Macaca mulatta: one gene and its partner. The protein of the gene in region 2 purifies or fractionates together with the protein of the main gene of each other region. This does not show direct contact. Links are inferred from orthologs where the notes say so. Each region holds a gene or a part of one and is shown on either strand. Other genes may lie near its edges.

Region 1 (6,241 bases), on a different chromosome or scaffold from region 2:
CCAAATCTACTAAAAACACAAAAAATTAGCTGGGTGTGATGGCGGGTGCCTGTAGTCCCAGCTACTTGGGAGGCTGAGGCAGGAGAATCACTTGAACCCAAGAGGCAGAGGTTGCAGTGAGCTGAGATCGTACTACTGCACTGCAGCCTGGACAACAGAGTGAGATTCCATCTCAAAAAACACAACAACAACAAATGCCAGCGCACTAGCTCATGCCTATAATCCCAACACTTTGGGAGACAGAGGCAGACAGACCACAAGATCAGATCAAGACCATCCTGGCTCACACAGTGAAACCCCGTCTCTACTAAAAATACAAAAAATTAGCTGGGTGTGGTGACGCTTGCTTGTAGTCCCAGCTACTTGGGAGGCTGAGGCAGGAGAATCACTTGAACCCGGGAGGCGGAGACTGCAGTGAGCCAAGATTGCGCCATTGCACTCCAGCCTAGATGACAGAATAAGACTCTGTCTCAAAATAAATAAATAAATAAAAATTTAAAGCCTTGAGGAAATGCTCTTTAACTCAACTGAATGGCAATTACATGGGTATATATATTTATCAAAATTTATCAAACTGGTGGTTTGTGGTGGCTCGTGCCTACAATCCCAGGGCTTTGTGGGGCTGAGACGAGAGGATCACTTAAGACCAGGAGTTCAAGACCAGCCTGAGCAACTTAGTGAGACCCCTCTCTCTACAAAAAAATAATTAAAAACTAAAAATGTAGCCAGGCGTGGTGGTGCATACCTGCAACCCTAGCTACTCAAGAGGCTGAAGTGGAGAATTCTTGGGCCTAGGAGGTTGAGGATGCAGTAAGCTATGATTCCGACACTGTACTTCAGCTGGGTGACAGAACAAGACCCTGTGTCTAAAAAAAAATATATCAAACTATCATTTAAAGTATATGCATTTTGGCCGGGCGCGGTGGCTCAAGCCTGTAATCCCAGCACTTTGGGAGGCCGAGACGGGTGGATCACGAGGTCAGGAGATCGAGACCATCCTGGATAACACGGTGAAACCCCGTCTCTACTAAGAAATACAAAAAACTAGCCGGGTGAGGTGGCGGGCGCCTGTAGTCCCAGCTACTCGGGAGGCTGAGGCCGGAGAATGGCGTGAACCCGGGAGGCGGAGCTTGCAGTGAGCTGAGATCCGGCCACTGCACTCCAGCCTGGGTGACAGAGCGAGACTCCGTCTCAAAAAAAAATAATAATAAAATAAAATAAAGTATATGCATTTTATTGTACGCAAATTATACCTCCATGAAGGTGATTAAAACAAACCTCAGGTGATTCCAACTTGGGGAACTGGATTCCAAGTCTGGAAAGAGCCGAGTCTAGGAAACATGTTCTTAAGCACCAGGAACCAAGTAGTAAGCCCTGTTTTATTCCAAGAGATCTTAGGGCGCTACTCCCGCTACCCTTCCCCTGCCCTGCCAAAAAAAGGTACTACAAACTGTAACCTGAATAGTGAAAGTTGAAGATAGCTGGACTCAGTGGCTCACGCCCATACTTCCAGCACTTTGGGAGTCTGAGGTGGGAGGATTGTTTGAGCCCAGGAGTCTGAGACCAACCTGGGCAAGACATTGAGATTCCATCTCTACGAAAGGTAAAAATATTAGCTGGGCGCAGTTGCACACACACCTGTAGTCCCAGCTACTCGGGAGGCTGAGGTGGAAGGATACCCTGACACCAAAAGCTGGAGGCCACCATGAGCTAAGATTATGCCACTGCACTCCAGCCTGGAAGACAAAACAATACCTTATCCAAAAAAAAAAAAAAAAAAGGCCGGGCGCTGTGGCTCACACCCATAATCCCAGTACTTTGGGAAGCCGAGGCAAGTGGATCACGAGGTCATGAGTTCGAGACCAGCCTGGCCAACATAGTGAAACTCCGTCTCTAGTGAAAAAACAAACACAAAAACACACACAAAAAATTTAGCTGGGCATGGTGGCGCGCGCCTGTAGTCCCAGCTACTTGGGAGGCTGAGGCAGGAGAATCGCTTGCACTGGGTAGGCAGAGGTTGCAGTGAGCCAAGATTGTGCCACTACACTCCAGCTTGGACAACAGAGCAAGCCTCCGTCTCAAAAAAAAAAAAGGCCAGGCACGGTGGCTCACGGCTGTAATACTAGCAACTATGGGAGGCCAAGGTAGGCGGACTGCCTGAACACAGGAGATGGAGACCAGCCTGGGCAACACGGTAAAACCCCGTCTCTGCTAAAATACAAAACAAAAATTAGCCGGGCGTGGCAGCATGCACCTGTAGTCCCAGTTTACCTGGGAGGCTAAGACAGGAGAATCGCATGAACCTGGGAGGCGGAGGTTGCAGGGCGCCGAGATCATGCCACTGTACTCCGGCCTGGGCGACAGAGCCAGACTCGGTCTCCAAAAAAAAAGTAATAAAAAAAGTAGGCCAGGCGCGGTGGCTCACACCTGTAATTCCAGCACTTTGGGAGGTGGAGGCAGGCAGATCACCTGAGGTCAGGAGATCGAAACCATCCTGGCTAACATCGTGAAAACCAGTCTGTGCTAAAAATACAAAAAATTGCTGGGCGCAGTGGCTCAAGCCTGTAATCCCAGCACTTTGGGAGGCCGAGACGGGCGGATCACGAGGCCAGGAGATCGAGACCATCCTGGCTAACACGGTGAAACCCCGTCTCTACTGAAAAATACAAAAAAAAACTAGCCGGGTGAGGTGGCGGGCGCCTGTAGTCCCAGCTACTCCGGAGGCCGAGGCAGGAGAATGGCGTGGACCCGGGAGGCGGAGCTTGCAGTGAGCTGAGATCCGGCCACTGCACAGAGCGAGACTCCATCTCAAAAAAAATAAAAATAAATGAAAAAAAATAAAAATAAAAATAAAAAGACAAAAAATTAGCCGGGCATGGTGGCACATGCGTGTAATCCCAACTACTCAGGAGGCTGAGGCAGGAGAATCGCTTGAACCTGAGAGGTGGAGATTGCAGTAAGCTGGGATCGTGCCATTGCACTCCAGCCTGTGCAACAAGAGCAAAACTTCATCTCAAAAAATAAATAAATATAATAAGTTAGCTGAAAGGCTGCTGTCTGGCACTTGAGGTAAGTGCTTCTCTCTCACTGAAATCTCATAGTGCTCGCTTACCATTCCCTTTCTACAGAAGAAAAAAACTGAATCAAAAAGGAATCATATTACTGTCAAGGGTCTCAAGCCATCAAGTGTCAGAGCTAGTATTTAACTGTCAGCTTCTCTCCAGAATCCATGCTCTTAAATAAGATACTCTACTGCCTTCCTTTTCTTTGTGTTTGTGTTTGAGACAGAGTTGCCCAGGCTGGAGTGCTGTGATCTTGGAGCACTGCAACCTCCACCTCCCAAGTTCGAGCAATTCTCCTGCTTCAGCCTCCTGAGTAGCTGGGATTACAGTAACCCACTAACACACCTGGCTAATTTTTGTAGTTTTAGTAGAGATGGGGTTTCACCATGTTGGTCAGACTGGTTTTGAACTCCTGACCTCAGGTGATCCACCCACCTTGGCCTCCCAAAGTGCTGGAATAAAGGCGTGAGCCACTGTATGCAGCTTGCCTTCCTTTTCTGAACTTAATATCTTTAAAAGATAAACAGCTTCATTATGAATAACTGGAGAAGTTAAACAAGAGATTTCATCCAGAAAAGAAATTTTCCACACACACACAAAACATCTCTGAACAAAATTGCTGTATCACATAATAAAATTATCTTGTAGAGAAAAGGATTAACAAAGTGCTACAACATCAATATCCATCCTAAATTTACTTCCTTAACCTCTCAAAGCCTATATCCCAAACAACAAACGGAGTTACAAAAAAATATCCTGGTAATAGAGCATGTGATCTCTAAGTCCAGAGAATCACAACTCATCTGCAACATACAGAGTAGGATACAATGGCCACAAGAATACAGTAAAATAAAAATGTATACATAACAAAAGTTAGAATGTTCAACCATATACCTAAAGTCAAAACAAGCAACTTTTTAAAATTATGGAACTGAATTCTTGTGATTTAGAGCAGCTATAAGCTTCAGAAGTTAAAAATCTTGGCCAGGGTAGCTCACGCCCATAATTCCAGCAGGAAGCTGAGGTGGGTGGATTGCCTGAGGTCAGGAATTTGAGACCAGCCTGGCCGACATGGTATAATTCTTGTCTCTACTAAAATACAAAATACAAAAATTAGCCGGGGGTGGTGGGCAGGTGGTGGTTGGCACCTGTAATCGAGCTACTGGGGAGGCTGAGGCACGAGCATTGCTTGACTCACACCTGTAATCCTAGCACTTTGGGAGGCTGAGACAGGAGGACCACTTGAGCCCAGGAGTACAAGATCAGTCTAGGCAACATAGCAACACCCCATCTCTAATACAAAAAAAGAAGAAAAAAATAAAGCAAAAAAAAATTTTTTTTTTTAGACGGAGTCTCGCTCTGTCGCCCAGGCTGGGGTGCAGTGGCCTGATCTCAGCTCACTGCAAGCTCCACTTCCCGGGTTTACGCCATTCTCCTGCCTCAGCCTCCCGAGTAGCTGGGACTACAGACGCCCGCCACCTCGCCTGGCTAGTTTTTTGTATTTCTTAGTAGAAACGGGGTTTCACCGTGTTAGCCAGCCAGGATGGCCTCGATCCCCTGACCTCGTGATCCACCCGTCTCGGCCTCCCAAAGTGCTGGGATTACAGGCTTGAGCCCCCGTGCCTGGCCAGCAAAAAAAATTTTAACACAAATCCTTGGTGGCTCACGCCTGTAATCCCAACACCTTGGGAGGCCGAGGCGGGAGGATCACGGGGTCACGAGGTCAAGAAGTCGAGGCCATCCTGGCCAACATGGTGAAACCTCCTCTCTACTAAAAACACAAAAATTAGCTGGGTGTGGTGGCCCGTGCCTGTAGTCCTAGCTACTCTGGAGGCTGAGGCAAGAGAATTGGCTGAACCAGGTGGGCAGAGGTTGCAGTGAGCCGAGATCGCGCCAAGGCTGTACTTCAACCTGGCGACAGAGAGACTCCATCTTAAAAAAAAAAAAAAAAGAATCTAGTTTCAGCTTTATGATTTTTCTTATTTAGCAAATATTTTGCTGGGTACAGTGGCTCATGCCTGTAATCCCAGCACTTTGGGAGGGTGAGGCAGGAGGACTGCTTGAGCCCAGCAGTTTGAGGCCAGCCTGGGCAACATAGTGAGACCCTGTCTCTAAAAATAAATAAATAAATATAGGCCTGGTATGATGGCTCACACCTGTAATCCCAACACTTTGTGAGGCCAAGACGGGTGGATCACTTGAGGCCAGGAGTTTGAGACTTTGGGCGGCCAAGGCAGGCAGATCACTTGAGGCTGGGAGTTCAAGACCGGCCTGAGCGACACAGCGAAACCCAGTCTCTGCAAAAAAACATAAAAATTAGCCAGGTGTGGTGACTCGCACCTATAATCCAAGCTTTGGGAGGCTGAGGTGAAAGCATCACCTGAACCAGGAGGTTGAGGTTGCAATGAGCCAAGATCATGCCACTGCACTCCAGCCTGGGTGACAGAGTGAGACCGTCTCAAAAAAAGAAAAAAAAAAAAAACTTAGGCCGGGTGCAGTAGTTCACACCTGTAATCCCAGCACTTTGGGAGGCCGAGGCGTGTGGATCATGAGGTCAGGAGTTCAAGACCAGCCTGGCCAACGTGGTGAAACCTGGTCTCTTCTCAAAATACAAAAATTAGCCAGGAGTGGTAGCGGATGCCTGTGAATCCCAGCTACTCAGGAAGCTGAGGCAGAAGAACTGCTTCAACCCAGGAGGTGGAGGTTGCAGTGAGTCCAGATCGCGCACTGTACTCCAGCCTGGGCGACAGAGCAAGACTCTATACTAAAAGGGAAAAAATAAATAAATTTTTTTTTACAGTATACACCTGTACCCCACCACCTAGACTACAGTGAAATTTTTTTTTTTTTTGAGACGGAGTCTTGCTCTGTCACCCAGGCTGGAGTGCAGTGGCCGGATCTCAGCTCACTGCAAGCTCCGCCTCCTGGGTTCACACCATTCTCCTGCCTCAGCCTCCCGAGTAGCTGGGACTACAGGCGCCCGCCACCACGCCCGGCTAATTTTTTTTTGTATTTTCAGTAGAGACGGGGTTTCACCATGTTAGCCAGGATGGTCTCGATCTCCTGACCTCGTGATCCGCCCGTCTCGGCCTCCCAAAGTGCTGGGATTACAGGCTTGAGCCACCGCGCCCGGCCTACAGTGAACATTTTAACGACTTGCTCCATCAAATTCCATCCCC
Region 2 (5,503 bases):
GACAAGAAACGAAATTTGGAAAATGATGGTTTGTATTGTAGAATATTAATTATCAAGAAAAATATTAAGTGTGTGTATGTGTGTTATGTTAAGCTTGCCACTGAAATGCTTTTTATCGTAGTTAACAGCTTAAAAGATCAACTTGAAGATTTGAAAAAAAGAAATCAAAACTCTCAAATATCCACTGAGAAAGTGAATCAACTCCAGAGACAAGTAGGTGGATCTCAATTTGTAGTAAAGATATTGGGTTTTATTTATAACCATGCAGTAACATTAGTTTTAATTTAAGTGTTGCAAAAGGCCTTTACCTCTAATTTTAGAAATCATTTGGAAAATATTTTTAGGTTTTTGTTTATTTTAAATAGTTTCTAATAGGGGAATAGATTGACTTATTTTCATTACATACATCTGTGTTTGTTTGTTGTTGTTTGGTTTTGAATGGAATAACAGCTGGATGAAACCAATGCTTTACTGCGAACAGAATCTGATACTGCAGCCCGGTTAAGGAAAACCCAGGCAGAAAGTTCAAAACAGATTCAGCAGCTAGAATCTAACAATAGAGATCTACAAGATAAAAACTGCCTGCTGGAGACTGCCAAGTTAAAACTTGAAAAGGAATTTATCAATCTTCAGTCAGCACTGGAATCTGAAAGGAGGGATCGAACCCATGGATCAGAGATAATTAATGATTTACAAGGTATTGAAGTCGTGGTTGCACTTGAATTAATTCTGATGATTCTTATTTTTAAAATAACTTTAGATGATGGATAGTGTGCTGGAGTAGGACATTTCTGAGTATACTACTCTTATGTAAAGTTAGAATATTAGAAATACATTGACACAAAATTTTATGAACAAAAGATTTAATTTCAAATAGTATGATTTTAAGTATTAAACTCTTCAGGTAGTAGATTGGATTGCATTTAACTGTAAAGCACAACACCAACAAGTATAAAACTCCTGCTCGCAAATAACAGCTCCAAAATAGAAGGTGGCTTGCAAACTTTTTATTCTTAGTTGAATGTATATACTTTGTGTGTTTAATGTTTTTAAAAACGTTGAAATTTTTAGGTAGAATATCTGGCCTAGAAGAAGATTTAAAGAACGGCAAAATCTTAATAGCGAAAGTAGAACTGGAGAAGAGACAACTGCAGGAGAGATTTACTGATTTGGAAAAGGTAAAACATGATTTGTATTTTTGCATAAGAAAATTGACTGTAGACTTTCAGGTTAGAAAAGTTATTCTAAACTAAGGGAAGTCACTAACTGTAGTATTTCCACATGCTCATGGATTCCTTTCCATTTGGACTTGATACGTAGATAAGAGATGTATCTGCAGGCTTACCATAACGCTATACAAGCAGCCCTCAGCATGCTGGCTGCTCACAAAGGAAGGGGACCTATCCTGGAGTGTAGATAATGAGGATCTCTGTAGGAACTCAAGGAAAACTCAAATTTTGACTCATAACATGCCTTAAAAATGATATATATAAAGTCACCGTGACTTTTGGCATTTAAAAGTTTTTCCTTTAAAATACTCTTAAGAAAGGGATGATTTCTAGAGTCTATGCATTTAGCGTTTTATTTTCATTCACTTATTTATTTACTCAACTAAATATTCAGTGTGTTATATGTGGTAGAAATATCAGGATGCAGTTCTTGCCTTGAATAATGTCACAGTTGAATAGGTAAGTTTAAAAGTAATAATAAAGCACAAAGATAATTCTAATGCAGTATGAGAAACAGAATGATAAGACTTATGGACAGGGCATATGTATTGGGCGTATGGGATGCATCCCTAACCTGACAGCAGGAAAGGTTGATAAGGGCAAAGGCACAGTCCAAGTTAGGAAGAACAGCATGAGCAAAGACATAGAGGATGGAAAATAAAAAAGGCATTGTTTGTTTATTTACATAAAAGCTGTTCAATATTTCTGGAGTATAGAGTGGGGGGTCAGCAAACTTTAATTGTTTAAAGTCAAGATAGTAAATATTTTAGCTTTTGTGGGTTATATGGTCTCTTGCAACTGTTCAGCCCTGCTGTGATTCATAAAGGAATGGCTGTGGCTATGTTCCAGTGAAACTTAAAAAAGAAAAAGACATCAGGTTAGATTGGCCTGAAGATCACAGTGTGGTTGTTATGTAAGGACATGAGGAATTCAGTGGTCAGAGTGAGACTACAGAGCTCCGCATGAGGTAGGTCGTGCAAGATAGCAAATACTCTATTAAGAAATTTTGAATATAGTAATGGGCTAGCCACTTAAGGGCTTTAAATTGGATGATCTTATTAGGGGTACATTAAAGATAGATCACTGTGTACTGTGTGGAGAAAAGATTTGAGGAGAAAAGACTAGAGGCAGAGAGACCAGTCAGTAGACTTTTTCAGTAATGCAGATAAGGAATAATGGGAGACTTCGTGTAGCCATTAAAAGGTTGGAAAAATTGAAAGACTCAGAAATATTTGGAAGAGGAATATTTGGCAGCGCTTAGTAGTTGATTAGATATGGCACATGAATAGCAGTCAAAGATGAGTCTCAGATTTGTAGGTTGTGACCAGATATATAGTGATGCTATTAATAAAGAATAAAGGAAAAATGGCTCATTTAGAAGAGACAGTGATAAACCCACTTTAGTCCTCTTAAGTTTGAGGGTACCTGTGGGAAAGCCAAATTAGAATGTCTGCACTGCAGTAGGCTATAGTAGTAGAAGTTAGAAATATTTGAGTCATTGGTATGTTAGTAGCTGAAATCATGTGAGTGAAATAGCCCATCTGGGAAGAGACTGTGTAAAGTAGTGATTTATTTTTTATTTTTTTATTTTTTTTTTAGGACAGAGTAGATAACTCTGTTGGTGGATTATGTGGTTTGAGAAATCATTTTTTGTATGAAAGGTTTTATTTGGAAAAAACCCTTTATCATATTTGTGATATGAACTATAGAAATAAAAGAATTAGAAAACCTTTGGGGAGTATGTAGAAAATAGGGGGAGCATTGAGGCTTATATCACCAACATTTAAGGGACAGCTGGGAAAGCCTCAGAAGCAACAGGAAGGATGCAAGCAGAATGGAGAGAACCAACTAAGTACAAGGTCGGCAATGCCAAGGGATGGTTTTAAGGGTGGCGGTGAGTTCAGATGAGATAAGATTGAAAAAGGTCTTTAGAATTTGATATGGAGAATAGCATTGGTCTTTTTGTTGAGATTAAGTGATCTTGATACAGATCTTGGAACAGCAGAGTGGTGGTGTAGACTGTTGGGTGCAGTGAGAAGTAGAGTATATAGATTACTATTCTAAGAGGTTTGAGTGAAGATGGGAGGGAAAATACTGAACATTCGTATTAAGCCTGTTAAAAAATGATTTAAGGTTGAGCACCGTGGCCCACACCTATAATCTCAGCACTGTGGGAGGCTGAGTCGGGAGGATCACTTGAGCCCAGGAGTTCAAGATCAGTGTAGGATAGGCAGTGTTTAGTGAGACCTTGTCTCTACATTAAAAAATAAAATAAAATAGCCAGGAGTGGTGACAAACGTCTATAGTCCCAGCTACTTTGGAGGCTGAGGTAGGAGGATCGATTGAGCCTGGGGAGGTTGCACTTGCAATGAGCCATCATCAAACCACTGCCCTTCAGCCTGGGTAATAGAGCAAGACTCTGTCTCAAAAAAAAAAAATAGAAAGCTTTTGAAGTTGTGAGCTAGTCTCTTTTTTGTTGATAGCTGCATTTTAAATATTTAACAGGAAAAAAGCAACATGGAAATAGATATGACATACCAACTAAAAGTTATACAGCAGAGCCTAGAACAAGAAGAAGCTGAACATAAGGCCACAAAGGCACGACTAGCAGATAAAAATAAGATCTATGAGTCCATCGAAGAAGCCAAATCAGAAGCCATGAAAGGTATGCATTTTTAAAGAGGGTTTTCCAGCAGCATCTTCCTAAGAATTGATTCTGTGTTCAGCTTTTTGGTTTTGAAACATATTTGTTTATATTTCGTTGTCAAATATTGGGAATTGGAGGGGAAAAAGCTATTAGGGAAGCTTTACATAGATATTATATTATTTTTCCTTTGTATCATTACAGTAATCATTTCTAAGATAGTAAGACCCAAACACAAAATTACATGATCAAAAATAATATTTTAGATCAGAGATTTTTAGATCAGAGATAAATTAATATTTCTCAATATTATATACCTGGCAATATCTGTACCACTCTGTATATCAGTAGTAAGAAGGTATGTCTGAACTTCACATGCTGTATACCTGTTACTATTGATACAGGTAATTCTTACAAGAGTTTTGTATTATAAAATTCTTGCCAGTTTATGCAAGGTAAGGATTTAAAAATAATAGCTGGTCTAACTAGAATATAAGTTCACTGAGTATTTTGATCTCTAATGTGATGAAGATACTAGTCAGATTTGGTCAAAGCCATATAATACTAATAGATAACAAAGTTAACCTTCCCATAAACTAGCCTTTATCCTGGAATTGTCTTAGGATAATTTTTTCTTTTCCAAACTGACTGTTTATAATGACTCTGAAATTCCAAAGAAAATCAGTACTTTAAGCTATTCTTGTGAAAGGCTTAAAACTCTTGAACAGAAATTTATTTTCATACTGAAGCATAACATTTATGAGTAAATCACTTAGAAAAAAATAGCCTTTTTATTATTGCATGTAATTAAAATGGTAGATTTTCTTAGTAAAAATCAGTGTAGTTTAAGGCACTAAATCAGGATGATAAGAAAGAAATGAGTACTTTATTTAGAAAAATCTAATTGTAAGGGAGAAAGTTTCCTTGTCTGTGGCCTAGAAGACAGAGTTTAATTATTTTCATTGAGGTATAATTTACATGCAATAATAAAATGTAAACATTTTTTATGTTTTGTGATATGCTCACATAACTACTGCTCAAAACAAGATAAAGAATATATCAGGCTAGGCATGGTGGCTCACATCTGTAATCCTAGCACTTTGGGAGGCCAGGATGGGAGGATCTCTTGAGCCCAGGAGTTCGAGACCAGCCTGGCTAGCATAGCAAGACCCTATCTCTACAAGAAATAGAAAAATTAGCTGGATGTAGTCGCGTGCGCCTATAGTCCCAGCTACTTGGGGGACTGATGTGGGAACATTGCTTGAGCCCAGGAGTTCAAGGCTGCAGTGAGCCATGATTGCATCACTGCACTCCAGCCTCAGTAACAGAGCAAGACCCCATCTCAAAAAAAAAAAAAAAAAAAAAAGAGTAGTTTCATTATTGCAGTAATGCCTCTTTCTGTTCTACATTATGCCTACGTTATGGTGATTTTTTTTTTTTAATGAGGACATTTGTTTGGTGGTTATTCTCTGAACTGATAAAAACGAACCAATTCAGTATTAACTACCATTTTTTTCAAACTGTTAAAACGCTAATGTAAGATACATGATGACTTCCATATTTTACACATGAGTACACAAAACTGTTAAATATTATAAATGGTATTCAAATGTGAGGCTAAAGTCTTTGG

What was found. Proteins that work in one complex are often made in the same cells at the same time.
Region 1: the proteins of ROCK2 (region 2) and RHOA purify together in Homo sapiens (affinity purification with western blotting; 3 studies listed by BioGRID, with this or other methods). This does not show direct contact. The link is inferred for Macaca mulatta from reciprocal best matches to the Homo sapiens genes ROCK2 and RHOA.

What each region holds. Positions count from the first base shown.
Region 1 is NC_133407.1:112,847,543-112,853,783, forward strand, and holds the start of RHOA (transforming protein RhoA), read right to left. Parts: upstream 3,366-6,241; 5' UTR 2,749-3,365; intron 1-2,748. UniProt on the Homo sapiens protein: Small GTPase which cycles between an active GTP-bound and an inactive GDP-bound state.
Region 2 is NC_133418.1:113,614,174-113,619,676, forward strand, and holds part of ROCK2 (rho-associated protein kinase 2), read left to right. Parts: coding exon 1-28; intron 29-121; coding exon 122-213; intron 214-450; coding exon 451-697; intron 698-1,071; coding exon 1,072-1,178; intron 1,179-3,734; coding exon 3,735-3,894; intron 3,895-5,503. UniProt on the Homo sapiens protein: Protein kinase which is a key regulator of actin cytoskeleton and cell polarity.